Linked DNA regions of Rattus norvegicus. The protein of the gene in region 1 binds, or shares a complex with, the protein of each later gene. Links are inferred from orthologs where the notes say so. Each region holds a gene or a part of one and is shown on either strand. Other genes may lie near its edges.

Region 1 (6,689 bases):
TTAGAACGGGAATGTCTACCCTCTGCCTGCCTCTGCATTACATGATGAACGTGCATATGCTACTCTCATTGCACAGGCTCACAACTGACCCTGGAATTTTGAGTTAGTACTGGAACAATGTAAGACTCTGGGGACTACTGGGACAGAATGATTGTATTTTACATTATAAGGTCATGAGTTTGGAGGGTAAGGGGTATAAAGCAGTGTTTGAGTAGGCTCTGTCCTCTTCGAAACACCTGTTGAACTTTGACAAGTGACAGGAATTTTCTTGTCTTTTTGAGATTCACACTGGCCTCAAATATGCTATTTAGTTGAGGATGAACTTGAACTCCTTTTTTCTTTTTTTTTTTTTTTTTTTTTTTTTTTCCCGGAGCTGGGGACTGAACCCAGGGCCTTGCGGTTGCTAGGCAAGCGCTCTACCACTGAGCTAAATCCCCAACCCCGAACTTGAACTCCTAATCCTGCCTCTCTACCTCTCCCCCAAATACAGGGGATCTCTTACAGGCGTGTACATCACAATCTACTTTGCAGCAGGGCTTTTCAGTTGTTTAGTTCATTATTATATGTGTGTACATAATGTTTATGTGTCTCGATTTGGGGGAGCTAAAGAGATGGCTCAGCAGCACTTGTGGCTCTGCACCTACATGGAAACCCATAACTATCACTGTCTCTAACTCCAGAGGATCCAATGCTCTGACCCCCACAGTCCAAGGTCACCAGGCACGCATGTGGGTGGCTGGCTGGCACATGCGCACACATGCACACGCACACATGCACGCGCACACGCGCACATGCACGCGCACACGCGCGCGCACTCACTCCTCCAAGTGCTGTGGTACACCTGGGAGATCAAAGCAGGAAGAATGCCACAAGCCCTAGACTAGCATGGTCTACATAGCAAGTTCCAGGCTAGCCAGGGCTACAGAGGGAGATCCTCTCTCAGATAAAACAGCAGCAAACCAATAAACAATAAATAGAAATAGGATAAACCGAAAATAAAACAAGGGCCTAGTAGAAAGTATGACCTGCTCCTATCTTCCTTGTGAAAGTCACATCAGGCTTGAATTTGTATCAGTGACAAACACTTAAATTGGGAAGAAAAGTTCCACAGGTAAAGAACCAAAGAACCAGAGTTTGAGAACTTGGGGGGTGGGGGAGGTATGGTATTGAGGCATGAACTGCCTGGCAATGGAATGCTAGGGAACTTAAATTCTGAGGCTTGTTATCCAAGTGCTGGGGAAGAGAGGGTCAATGGACTCTCTGGCCAGCCATCCTAGCCTGGCTGGTGAGTTCTAGGCCACATGAAAAAAACTTGTGTCAAAGAACAACAAGGCTGACTGTGTCTTCTTCAAGTCTTGCAATACAGCTCTTTTAAATCTTCCAGCATTTCCAAGGCCGGGCAGTTCATGGCTCAAGGCTTATGAACACATTTCTTCTAACGAAAAAAAAAAATCCTCACATTGACTAACTTTCCTCAGCCTTTAGAATTAAGCTGAAGAATCCTCTAGAAAATAAAAACAAATTAGCATTTAGAAAGATTGTTCAGATCATGTGCATGTATGTATGTGTTTGTGTGAGATGAGGTGCTCAAGTGCAGAAGCCATCTCTCCACCCCTAACTAGCATTTAGTCAACACACTCTGTAGTCTCTGTTTTTTAGTCATGGTGATGGGGGGGGAGGGTGTCGAATGAATTTTCTTGCCTAGTACACTAAATAGTTATGAAATGGGAAGTACATGTTTTCACAGATAGAGGAGGGTAAAAAGTAAGAAGAGAAATCATGTGCAGAAGTTTTTGGTGTAAGGACTGGAGCAATGGCTCGGTGGAAGAACTGTTACTTCTATAGCAGAAGGCCTGGGTTTGGTTCTCAAGACCCACATGGTAGCTAATAAGCAGTTATCAGGGGCTTGGACCCCTCTTCTGGCCTCCAATGGCTCCTGCACAGGTGTGGTACATGCACACACTCAGACATGCAAATATACATAACATATTTTTGAAGTCTCGTTGTTTCATTTTTATTTGCCATTCTGTCTGTCTTGTTTGTTTTTGAGATTGTGTTTCACTCTGTAACCTAGGCTAGCCTGGAACTGAGAGGGTAACCCATTGGGATTATGGGTATGAGCCATCACACTTGGCTGTGTCCAAATTTAAGATAAAGTCTATTTCACTTACCTGTTTCTCTGTGTTAAGCAAAGTATAACACAAGACAGACTCTCAAAAGCTTTACTTTTTTTCTTTCCCACTGTCAAGGTGCCTCTTCCATCCCCAGAATGTCACTTCTCTTTGAATACTTACTTTCCGACTCATAGTAGAACTGTAAACCCCACTTCAACAGACGATGCTCTCCAACAGTATGGGTTTTAAACTATTTCTGCTGATACTTTTTTTTAAAGATGTATTTATTTATTATATATAAGTACACTGTAGCTATCCTCAGACACACCAGAAGGCATCAGATCTCATTACAGATGGTTGGGAGTCACCATGTGGTTTCTGGGATTTGAACCCAGGACCCATGGAAGAGCAGTCAGTGCTCTTAACGGCTGAGCCACCACTCCAGTCCCTATGCTGATACTTTTACCTGCAGTGATTGCTCAACAAGCAACTGACAAATATATGATTAAAATAGCTCTTCAATCCCAACCCTGGACCTCCATACCAGGTGAGAACAGACACCCACCCAGACCCCACACCTCAAGGCTTTCCCATTTAACCCACCAAACTACACCCCTAGCTTCAACTATTTTCATTTCGATTGTGTGTTCTTCTTCTTCTTTTTTTTTTTTTTTTTTGGTTCTTTTTTTCGGAGCTGGGGACCGAACCCAGGGCCTTGCGCTTCCTAGGCAAGCGCTCTACCACTGAGCTAAACTAAATCCCCAACCCCAATTGTGTGTTCTTCTAATATCAATTAAACACTAGTCCCAAGACTAACAAAACATGGTCCCTATACCACAAAGGGCTTTCTGATTAATTCGTCAGATGTATCCCGATGTTATGAAGAGCAGAATCACACCTGCATTAGAAAATGGTTTCTAGCCTCTTCTGAAAACTTAAGTCTCTGCAGAAGGGAGCATAGAGAGTGAGCTGGACCATGTCTCAAAAAACGAAAACAACCCGAGCCAGGAATAGTAGTCCCAGATAATCCCAGTATTTGGGAGGCAGAAACAAGCGAATCTCTGTGAGTTCCAGGCCAGCTTGGTCTACATAGTGAATTCCAGAAAAGCAAGGCTACATAGAGCGACCCAGCCCGACCCTATAGCAACCCTCATCCCCACCCCAAGACAAAACAAAAACAAAACAAAACAAGAAAATAACTAAGCCACAGTCTCCTTAGTCCAAATAGTTACTGAACACTAAACTGGTCAGAGTCTGAGTCACGTGGCTCTGCAGCGTGTTTGTGATGGTGAACACGGTTTTGGAGTCAAAGACTAAATAACCCACTCACTGACTAAGAACAGCCTGGGATTCGTTACTAGATGACACTTCAAACACCATATTCTCTTTAGGGTACCTCGTAGAGGGGGAGACGACGATCCATGTCCTTAGGGACCTGGACAACCCTCCCAGATCCTGCATCTAAGAGCTTTCTCTCTCGACTACCCACCCACACCCCGGGCGTGCCTCTCACCTACCTACCCCACCTACTCACGCCCTAGAAAGGATTGTGATCACCCCCAAAAACGCCCTCTCCCCTGTGCGTGACCACGGAGAACGTGGGAAGGACTAAAGGCCCCTCTGAATCACAAGTCCTTTTCCTTGCACGAACTCGACACCGACCCAGGTGCCTTCTACGCTCGCGGTTCCTCACCTGTTCCGCCGACACCGCCCCCTTCCCCGTGCCACTCCCGCCGCTCTTGCCCACACGACCGCTGCTGTCCGCCATCTTCCCCACCTGCAAGCTTTCCGGCCTGCGCACTCCCACTGCGTCACATCCGCTCTAGTGGTTACCGCCCACTTGCTCCTGCGCTTCTGGCTTCTGGCAGCTCTTCAGATCCGACCCTGCGAATGGTTTTGGCTGTGTCTTCATGTAGGACCTACTCCCCAACCCTGCCTGCTGCGGTGAATTCCACCTGCTATGCTTTAACTTGTGCAACAGAGATTCTTGCCCCGGGGAGAGCCGGGGAAGGACGCGCTAATCAGAGGGCGGGGGCTCGGGTTGGGATCTGATCTTGTACCCATCTACCTACCCACCACGAGAATGGTGGAGATCTAAGGAGGGTGAACTTTCCTTCTGAGATTCTGGTACAAGGGGAAAGATACATGTTGAGTCTATAAAGCTGTCCAGGTGGCACAGCCGAGAAGAGAGAATTGGGGAAACGAGGAAGGTTCCATGAGATGACTTGAACTGCGGAAACGTTTGGCAGAGGAAAAGGGCTTCAGTTTTAATGTGAGATCACTGGAAGTTGAGGTATTAAGGCACCGATCATAGTGTCCTCTTCCATTTTCCCATTTTATGATCTCATAACTACTAGTAGTAAAGTGTTTTCGAAGCCTTGGGGGAGGGGATTACTGGCCAGGTCTGGAAATGGCAGAGAATTCTAGAAACTTACAGCTTGAAGGAGGGTTAGGTGTCCTGATTTTTCACCTTCTTCAGGCTGGGCTTCATCACCAGGCCTCCTCATCAACTCCTGTCCCTTCTGTGTACCGGATACCGATTACCTCAAATCTCAGTACTTTGTACTCAGCCCAGGTAACATATTTTATGTTCTTTGTCTAGCACGTAGTTGCTAAGTCCATGTTTATTAACCGAATAGTGGACCTGCCATCCACCAAACATTTAATGCGTGTACTCCAGTAGCTTAGGGTTATTTAATGCTCTGGAAGAATGAAAACAAGTCGCTAGGGTTGGTGGGACACACCTCTAATCCCAGCACTCGGGAAACAGGCAGGAGGATCAACTAGGAGTTTAAGATCATCCCCGCTACATAGAAAGGTCTGCCTGGGCTACAAAAAGACCCGGTCTCAAAGGGGAGGTAAAATCAGAAAAAAAAAAAGTAAGTTTCCGGCTCCACCCCCACTTGAGCCTCCCAAGTTTCTCCGCGGCACGCGGTAGAAATCCTGAGAAAACTGCCTGTGTCATTCACAGGCCCAGAGCCATGGCAGAGTCCTCATCGACTTCCTGGGAGCTGCCCCTGGTGGCTGTGTGCCAGGTAACATCAACACCAAACAAGCAAGAGAACTTTAAAACGTGTGCTGAGCTGGTTCAAGAGGCTACCAGACTGGGCGCTTGCCTGGCCTTTCTGCCTGAGGCATTTGACTTTATTGCACGAAATCCTGCCGAGACATTACTCCTGTCCGAACCACTGGATGGGGACCTTTTGGGACAATATAGCCAGCTTGCCAGGTACAAGGGTAGGGTGGGGGTGGGGAGGGGTAGAATCCCTGTTGGGCAGTGTTCCTGGATTGCCACATAGAGGGGGTAGAGTTGTCAGTGTCCCTCCCCCTCAGGGAATGTGGAATCTGGCTGTCCTTGGGTGGTTTCCACGAGCGTGGCCAAGACTGGGAGCAGACTCAGAAAATCTACAATTGTCATGTGCTTCTGAACAGCAAGGGTGAGACTTCACAGTCCTTCAGCTTGCCTCTTCCTAGGCTCATCTACCTTCTTCCAACTCAGATCTTCAGCATTTTTCTCAACTGCTTGGCTTTAGGGGTTTTTTTGTTTTGTTTTGAATGCTTCTGTTCTTAGCCTAAAAATTACTCTTTGGGAGAAGAGCTAAGCTGGACTTCCAGTGTCTGTACTGAGCATTTTCTCTTACTTTAGGATCAGTAGTGGCCAGTTACAGGAAGACACATCTATGTGATGTAGAGATCCCAGGTCAGGGGCCTATGAGAGAAAGCAACTATACCATGCCTGGATACGCTCTTGAACCACCTGTCAAGACACCAGCAGGCAAGGTAGGAGTTTGAAAAGAAAATAGGAATATGTTGAAAAAGTTGTAACATCTCCCTTTGGTGTAGGATGATGGAGGTAGTATTCAATGTTACGTTGACCAGGACAGGGAAGATGAGTGGGTTGTTTCTCGTTTCAGGTTGGTCTAGCAATCTGTTATGACATGCGGTTCCCTGAACTTTCTCTGAAATTGGCTCAAGCTGGGGCAGAAATACTTACTTATCCTTCAGCCTTTGGATCTGTTACCGGCCCAGCCCACTGGGAGGTAGGAGAATGCCTCTTCATAACATATAGGCCTCCTTTAATCTTATTTTTAGTAGTGGGGACAGAGTAGCACAAACCTAAACTCTAAGCACTTCAGGGGATAGCCACAGGTTCAAAGCCAGCATAGTGATGCCTCGAGTAAAACAGAAAACAAAATAGAAGCTGGGCAGTGGGGGTGCACACCTTTAATCCCAGCCCTCAGGAGGCAGAAGCAAGTGGATCTGAGTTCAAGACCAGCCTGGTCTACAGAGTAGGTTCCAGGACAGCCAGGGCTACACAGAGAAACCGTCTCAAAACAAAACAAAACAAAACAAAACAAAAGTAACCCACACCACCCAAAATAGTGGTGCATGGTGGTGTGTGCTTTTTATCTCCGCACTGTAAGGCAGAGGCCGGCAGATCTCTGTGGGTCCAGGCCAACCAAGGTTATACAAGGAGACCTTATATAAAAAAATACAAAACACAAACACACCCCTCCCCTTCTACTTGAAGGATTTTCTTCCCTTCCGATCTGGTGAGGAAATTCGTTTCTTAGA
Region 2 (6,503 bases), on another chromosome or scaffold:
TTTTGGAGGCACTCAGAACTATGAGTTTTCCTCTTAACACTGCTTTCATTGTGTCCCATAAGTTTGGGTATGATGTGCCTTTATTTTCATTAAATTCTAAAAAGTCTTTAACCTCTTTTTTTATTTCTTCCTTGACCAAGTTATCATTGAGCAGAGTGCTGTTCAACTTCCATGTATATGTGGGCTTTCCGTCGTTTTTGTTGTTATTGAAGGCCATCCTTAGTCCATGGTGATCTGATAGGATGCATGGGATTATTTCTGTCTTCTTGTGTATGTTGAGGCCTGTTTTGTGACCAATTATATGGTCAGTTTTAGAGAAGGTACAGCAAGGTGCTGAGAGGAAGGTATACTCTTTTGTTTTAGGATGAAGTGTTCTATTGATATCTGTCAAGTCCATTTGGTTCATAACTTCTGTTAATCTGTCTATGTCTCTGTTTAATTTTTGCTTCCATGATCGGTCCATTGATGAGAGTGGGGTGTTGAAATCTCCTGCTATTATTGTGTGAGGTACAGTGTGTGCTTTGAGCTTTAGTAAGGTGTTTGTTTGTTTGTTTTTTTAATGAATGTACGTATTCGGAGCATAGATATTTAGGATTGAGAATTCATCTTGGTAGATTTTTCCCTTGATGAATATGAAGTGTTCTTAATTTTTTGATAACTTTTGGTTGAAAGTGGATTTTATTCGATATTAGAATGACTACTCCAGCTTGTTTCTTAGACCATTTACTTGGAAAGTTGTTTTCCAGACTTTTACTCTCAGGTAGTGTTTGTCTTTGTCTCTAAGATGTGTTTCCTGTATGCAGCAAAATTGGGTCCTGTTTAGGTATCCAGTCTGTTAGTCTAAGTCTTTTTATTGGGGATTGAGTCCATTGGTGTTACGATATATTAAGGAATAGTGATTTTGCTTCCTGTTATTTTGTTGTTGTTGTTAGAGTTGGAATTCTGTTTGTGTGCCTCTCTTCTTTTGGTGTCATTGCAAGGAAATAACTTTCTTGTTTTTTCTAGGGAGTAGTTTCCCTCCTTGTATTGGAGTTTTCCATCTATTATCTTTGTAGGGCTGGATTTGTAGAAAGATATTGTGTAAACTTGGTTTTGTCATGGAATATCTTGGTTTCTCCATCTATGTTAATTAAGAGTTTTGCTGGACATGCAATCTGTGTTCTCTTAGGGTCTGTACGACATCTGCCCAGGATCTTCTGGCTTTCATGGTCTCTGGTGAGAAGTCTGGTGTAATTCTCACAGTTCTACCTTTATATGTTACTTGACCTTTTCCCCTTACAGCTTTTAAAATCCCTTCTTTGTTTTGTGCATCTGGTGTTTTGACTGTTATATGTCAGGTGGAATTTCTCTTGTGGGCCAATCTTTTTGGTGTTCTATACGTTTCTTGTATATTTATGAGCATCTCTTTCATTATGTTAGGGACGTTTTCTTCTATAATTTTATTGAAGATATTTATTGGCCCTTTAAGTTGGGAGTCTTCATTCTCTTCTGTACCTAATATTCTTAAGTTTGGTCTTATTGTGTCCTGGATTTCCTGTTTTGGGTTAAAAGATTTTTTGCATTTTACGTTATCTTTGATGGTTGTGTCGATGCTTTCTATGGTATCTTCTGCCCCTGAGATTCTCTTGTGTTCTGTTGGTGATGCTTGCATCTATGACTCCTGATCTCTTCCTTAGGTTTTCTTCTCCAGGGTTGTCTTCCTTTGTGCTTTCTTTATTGTTTCTATTTCCATTTTTTTAAAATCCTGGATGGTTTTGTCCATTTCTTCCACTTGTTTGATTGTGTCTTCCTGTAATTCTACAAGGAATTTTTGTGTTTCCTCTTTAAGGGCTTCTATTTGTTTACTTGTGTTGTCCTGTATTTCTTTAAGGGAGTTATATATGTACTTTTTAAAGTCCTCTGTCATCATAAAATGTGATTTTTAAATTCAAATCTTGTTTTTCGAATGTGTTTGGACATCCAGTATTTGCTTTGGTAGGAGAAATGGGCTCTGATGATGCCAAGTCATCTTGGTTTCTGTTGCTTAGGTTCCTGTGCTTGCCTCTCACTATCAGGTTGTCTCTGGTGTTGGTTTGTCTTACTGGTTTGGCCCTCCTGTTGATCTGTGTGTCAGCACTCCTGTAGAACTGTTTCTTTCAGCTGGATCTGGGAACAGAGAGCTTTGCTCTCAGGTGTATAGGCACTCCTGGAGTCTGGCTTTCAGCTCTTTGCACAGGCAGAAATCTGAAGGGTCCTGCCCCTGGCTGCTCCTAGGTCCCTGTACCCAAGGGGCACAGATGGCACTAGGCGATTTCCTCTTGGGTCAGGAATGCAGGCAGAAAGTTTTTGTTAACTCTGAGTTCTCAGGGGTGTCTGCACTTCTGAGGGTCCAGCTCTGTCCTCCACGGGATTTGGGTGCAGGGACCTGTGGTACGGGTTCAGTTCTGCAAGTCACATTCTGATAATTGTACATTTCTTTTGCAGAAAGTATACAAGCAGCAACAGAACAGCAACATATTCTTTCTTGAAGAACGAACAAAAATGTTGTCTGAAAGCAAAAGTGAGTAGTGGTCTTTTTAGTTTTGTTTTCAGACTTATATGGAATGCTACAGAAAACCTTTTGTAAGCTTTTTGTGGGGATTCATAATGGTGCCTCAGTTAAACCCTGTTTGAATGAATGTGTGTGTGGATTTAGGGTAGTGGTCTGTTTCCAGTTAGTCTTCCAGAGATGTATACAGTGCGTTGTGTTTTGGCAGCGTGGCAGGTGGAGTATCCTTCAAGATAGGGTTTCTCTGTGTAGCCTTGGCTGTTCTGGACCTCACTCTGTGGATCAGGTTGGTCTTGAACTCAGAGATTTGCCTGCCTCTGCCTCTCAAGTGCTGAGATTAAAGGCATGCGTTGCACCACAGTCACCGGACAGATGTTCTACAGTTTTAAAAAGACTCCTCCAATATGGATGGGCTGGGATTTGGATTGTCTTGATCTTGGGCAGGAAGCCATGGCTGCAGAGAGTTCATGTTCATAACAATCCTATCATGTCTGGAAAACACTGTCTTGCAGCCATTCTCCCAATCTCTTGTTATGATGGTCTTTCTGTTCCCTTTTATTCATGAGCTTCGGGTGTGATACAAATGTCCAGTTCAGAGTTGAGTACTCCACAGTCACTGATGATCCACACTGCCCCAGTTGTGGTCTCTGAACTAACTGCCATCCACTGCCAATGTCGCTCCTGGTAGATAGCCCATACCCCAGTAGAAGGAGATATGGAATGAGAAGTAGAAAGTGGCTATGATCTAAATATATCATAAATCAGTATGAAATTCTCAAGGAATAAAAATTATGAGTTTAGTTATTAGTAAAGTAGTCATATATATTTTAAGAGGTTGAGAGAAATATGAAAATCATACAATTTTGTGACTTTCAGGGGTAATACTTTGAGCCTCTAAAGCAGCAGTTCTCAACCCGTAGGTCAGTACCCTTTTGGGGGTCACAAATCAGATATCCTGCATGTTAGATATTTATATTACAATTCATAACAGTAGTAAAATTACAGTTACGAAGTATCTGCGAAATTTGGTTGGGGTCACCACGACATGAGGAACTGATTAAAGGGTCGCAGCATTAGGAAGGTTAAGAACCACTGCTCTAAGATCTTGAAGTATTTAAATTATATATGTAAAGTGTTTAGCCAAGTGATTAGATAAAATGTGTACCCAGTGGAAAGAAACTATTACCAAAATATCAGCATTGTCTGTCACTAAAGCATTGTGAATTATGGCTGGCTTTTGTACAGTGCATCTCATATGGTTTAATCTTGAGAAGTAGCCTGTTTTGTTCATGAAATAATAGGTAAATATTTTTGAACTTTCACTTCAATATTTTTTCTCACTCTCAACAGATAAATTAGACGAACTAAGAAAAGATTACCAAGAAGTAGAAAACTCAGAGACAACCAAAGTCAAGACACAGTCAGCCTGACTTCACATAACCATGTGTGGCATTTGCTGTTCTGTGAGTTTCTCTGTTGAGCACTTCAGTAAAGATTTAAAAGAGGATTTGCTGTATAATCTCAGACGGCGGGGCCCTAGTAGCAGCAGACAGTTATTAAAATCTGCTGTTAACTATCAGTGTTTATTTTCTGGTCATGTTCTTCATTTAAGAGGTGTTTTGACTGCCCAACCTGTGGAAGATGAATGTGGCAATGTGTTCTTATGGAATGGAGAAGTTTTTAATGGAGTACAGGTTGAAGCAGAAGATAATGATACCCAGGTCATGTTCAGTAGCCTTTCTGCCTGTAAGAATGAGTCTGAAATACTGTCGCTCTTCTCTAAAGTGCACGGCCCGTGGTCGTTTATATATTACCAGGCCTCCAGCCATTGCTTGTGGTTTGGCAGGGACGTGTTTGGCCGCCGTAGCTTGCTTTGGCAGTTTAGTAACCTGGGCAAGAGTTTCTGCCTCTCTTCAGTTGGTGCCCAGATATCCGGAGGAGCAGACCAGTGGCAAGAAGTTCCAGCATCTGGAATCTTCCAAATTGATCTCAATTCTGCTGCTGTTTCCAGATGTGTGATCTTAAAATTATATCCTTGGAAATCTATTTCTAAGGAGAATGTTGCTGAAGAATGTGCTAATGAGCTGACTCAGACTCCAGCAGAATTGCCAGAGTTTGTATCAGTGGTAATAAATAAAGCCAACTTGTACCTCTCAAAACCCATTGTCCCCTTAAACAAGACGCTGCCTGAGGTACCCTTGGAGACCCAATGTAGAAACAGTTCCAGCGTTCCAGGGTCAAGAGAGACACTTGAGATACTTCTTAGAGATGAACACACACAAAGAATAGTTCAGCAGTTCATTGACGTCCTCAGTGTTGCAGTCAAGAGACGCACCTTATGTTTAGCTAGGGAAGAAAACTTGGCATCAAAGGACGTTTTAAAAACTTGTGGTAAGAAAGCAAACATTGCGATCCTGTTTTCCGGAGGTGTTGATTCTATGGTGATCGCAGCCCTTGCTGATCGTCACATTCCTTTAGACGAGCCAATTGACCTTCTGAATGTGGCTTTTTTACCTAAACAAAAGGCAGGGCTGCCTATTCCTAACGTAGAAAGAAACCAGCAAAACCACTGTGAGATCCCTCCTGAAGAGTCCTCTCCGAGCACTGCTGTGCCTCAGGGTCCACATGACGCCGAGGTGCCAGATCGAGTCACAGGAAAAGCAGGACTGAAGGAACTACAGTCTGTCAACCCTTCTCGAACTTGGAATTTTGTGGAAATTAATGTTTCTCTTGAAGAATTACAAAAACTAAGAAGAGCTCGAATATGTCACTTAGTTCAGCCATCGGACACAGTTCTGGATGATAGTATTGGCTGTGCTGTCTGGTTTGCATCTAGAGGAATCGGTTGGTTGGTGACCGAGGATGCTGTGCAGTCTTACAAGAGCAGTGCAAAGGTATGTTCCAAAGGACTGCTGCTCATAATTTCTGAGACCTCATTTTGATATTTAAGGTTTATAAATACACTGTATTACAGTTACACTTTATCGTACTGTGTATTTGTTTTACTATTTTCTGACTTGTAGTTTTCCTCCTTTAGCCTGAGAAAATAGAACTTGTTTTCTTTATCCTCTTGTCATGTCTCTGGCTCTTTTTCCTCTTCTGTAGGTGATTCTCACTGGGATTGGTGCAGATGAGCAGTTGGCAGGTTATTCCCGTCATCGTGCCCGCTTTCAGTCTCTTGGCCTAGAAGGATTGAATGAGGAAATAGCAATGGAATTGGGTCGCATTTCTTCTAGAAACCTTGGTCGTGATGATAGAGTTATTGCTGATCATGGAAAGGAAGCAAGGTAACTCATTACTAAATGTTTTTTTTTTTAAAAATGTAAAAGGAAGCTTTACATTTTCCCTTGGAGATTGGTATCATGCAAAGCAGGAGAGCAGACCACTCTCTCTACTTTACATTATAAACATGGTCGAGAGCAAAACCGATGGAGCCGGGGAACTGCGTTTCCTCATTAAGTAACTTTGTAAAGTTACGTTGTAAAGTCATGGAATAGGTAGTTCTTTTCAGGACCACAATGAACACAGGACTGTCCAAGGGGCAATCACAGGCAGTTTAAGGGTTTTCTTTTGTCCCACAAACCTATAATAAGTTTCTCCTCCAGTACTGTAGAATCTGGTTTTGTCTCTGTAGGCGTAGTGATCTATAGAGGCCCCAGTCCTAGATTTCTGCCTATTGAATGGTTTTTTGAACGTGCTTTAGTACTGTTACAGATGGTGTAGAATCTTCAGAGACCCAGGCACTTTCGTGTATGCTTTTTAAATCTTGGGTTTATTTTTATCTACAACATACATCTGATGATAATAAAGACATACTTAAGTGCAGCATTTTTAAATATTAAGGATAAAGGAAGATGTGATAGTATGAAGAGTTGAACTCTGGACCTGGGTATCGTAGTTTACATTCATCAGACAGAGTCAGGAAAATTATGGCAAAGATACTCTGAAAAACCTTGGGAATTATTTCTTGCTATCA

What was found. The genes of interacting proteins can lie anywhere in the genome.
Region 2: Pfdn2 (region 1) and Asdurf share a complex: the UniProt entries of both Homo sapiens proteins name them as parts of the PAQosome complex. The link is inferred for Rattus norvegicus from reciprocal best matches to the Homo sapiens genes PFDN2 and ASDURF.

What each region holds. Positions count from the first base shown.
Region 1 is NC_086031.1:86,303,031-86,309,719, reverse strand, and holds the start of Pfdn2 (prefoldin subunit 2), read right to left. Parts: upstream 3,893-6,689; 5' UTR 3,883-3,892; coding exon 3,808-3,882; intron 1-3,807. Other genes in the region: Nit1 (deaminated glutathione amidase), read left to right, coding at 4,025-4,026, 4,594-4,689, 5,086-5,343, 5,448-5,551, 5,761-5,894, 6,029-6,154. UniProt on the Homo sapiens protein: Binds specifically to cytosolic chaperonin (c-CPN) and transfers target proteins to it. Binds to nascent polypeptide chain and promotes folding in an environment in which there are many competing pathways for nonnative proteins.
Region 2 is NC_086027.1:55,624,020-55,630,522, forward strand, and holds the end of Asdurf (ASNSD1 upstream open reading frame protein), read left to right. Parts: intron 1-2,463; coding exon 2,464-2,539; intron 2,540-3,877; coding exon 3,878-3,957; 3' UTR 3,958-3,969; downstream 3,970-6,503.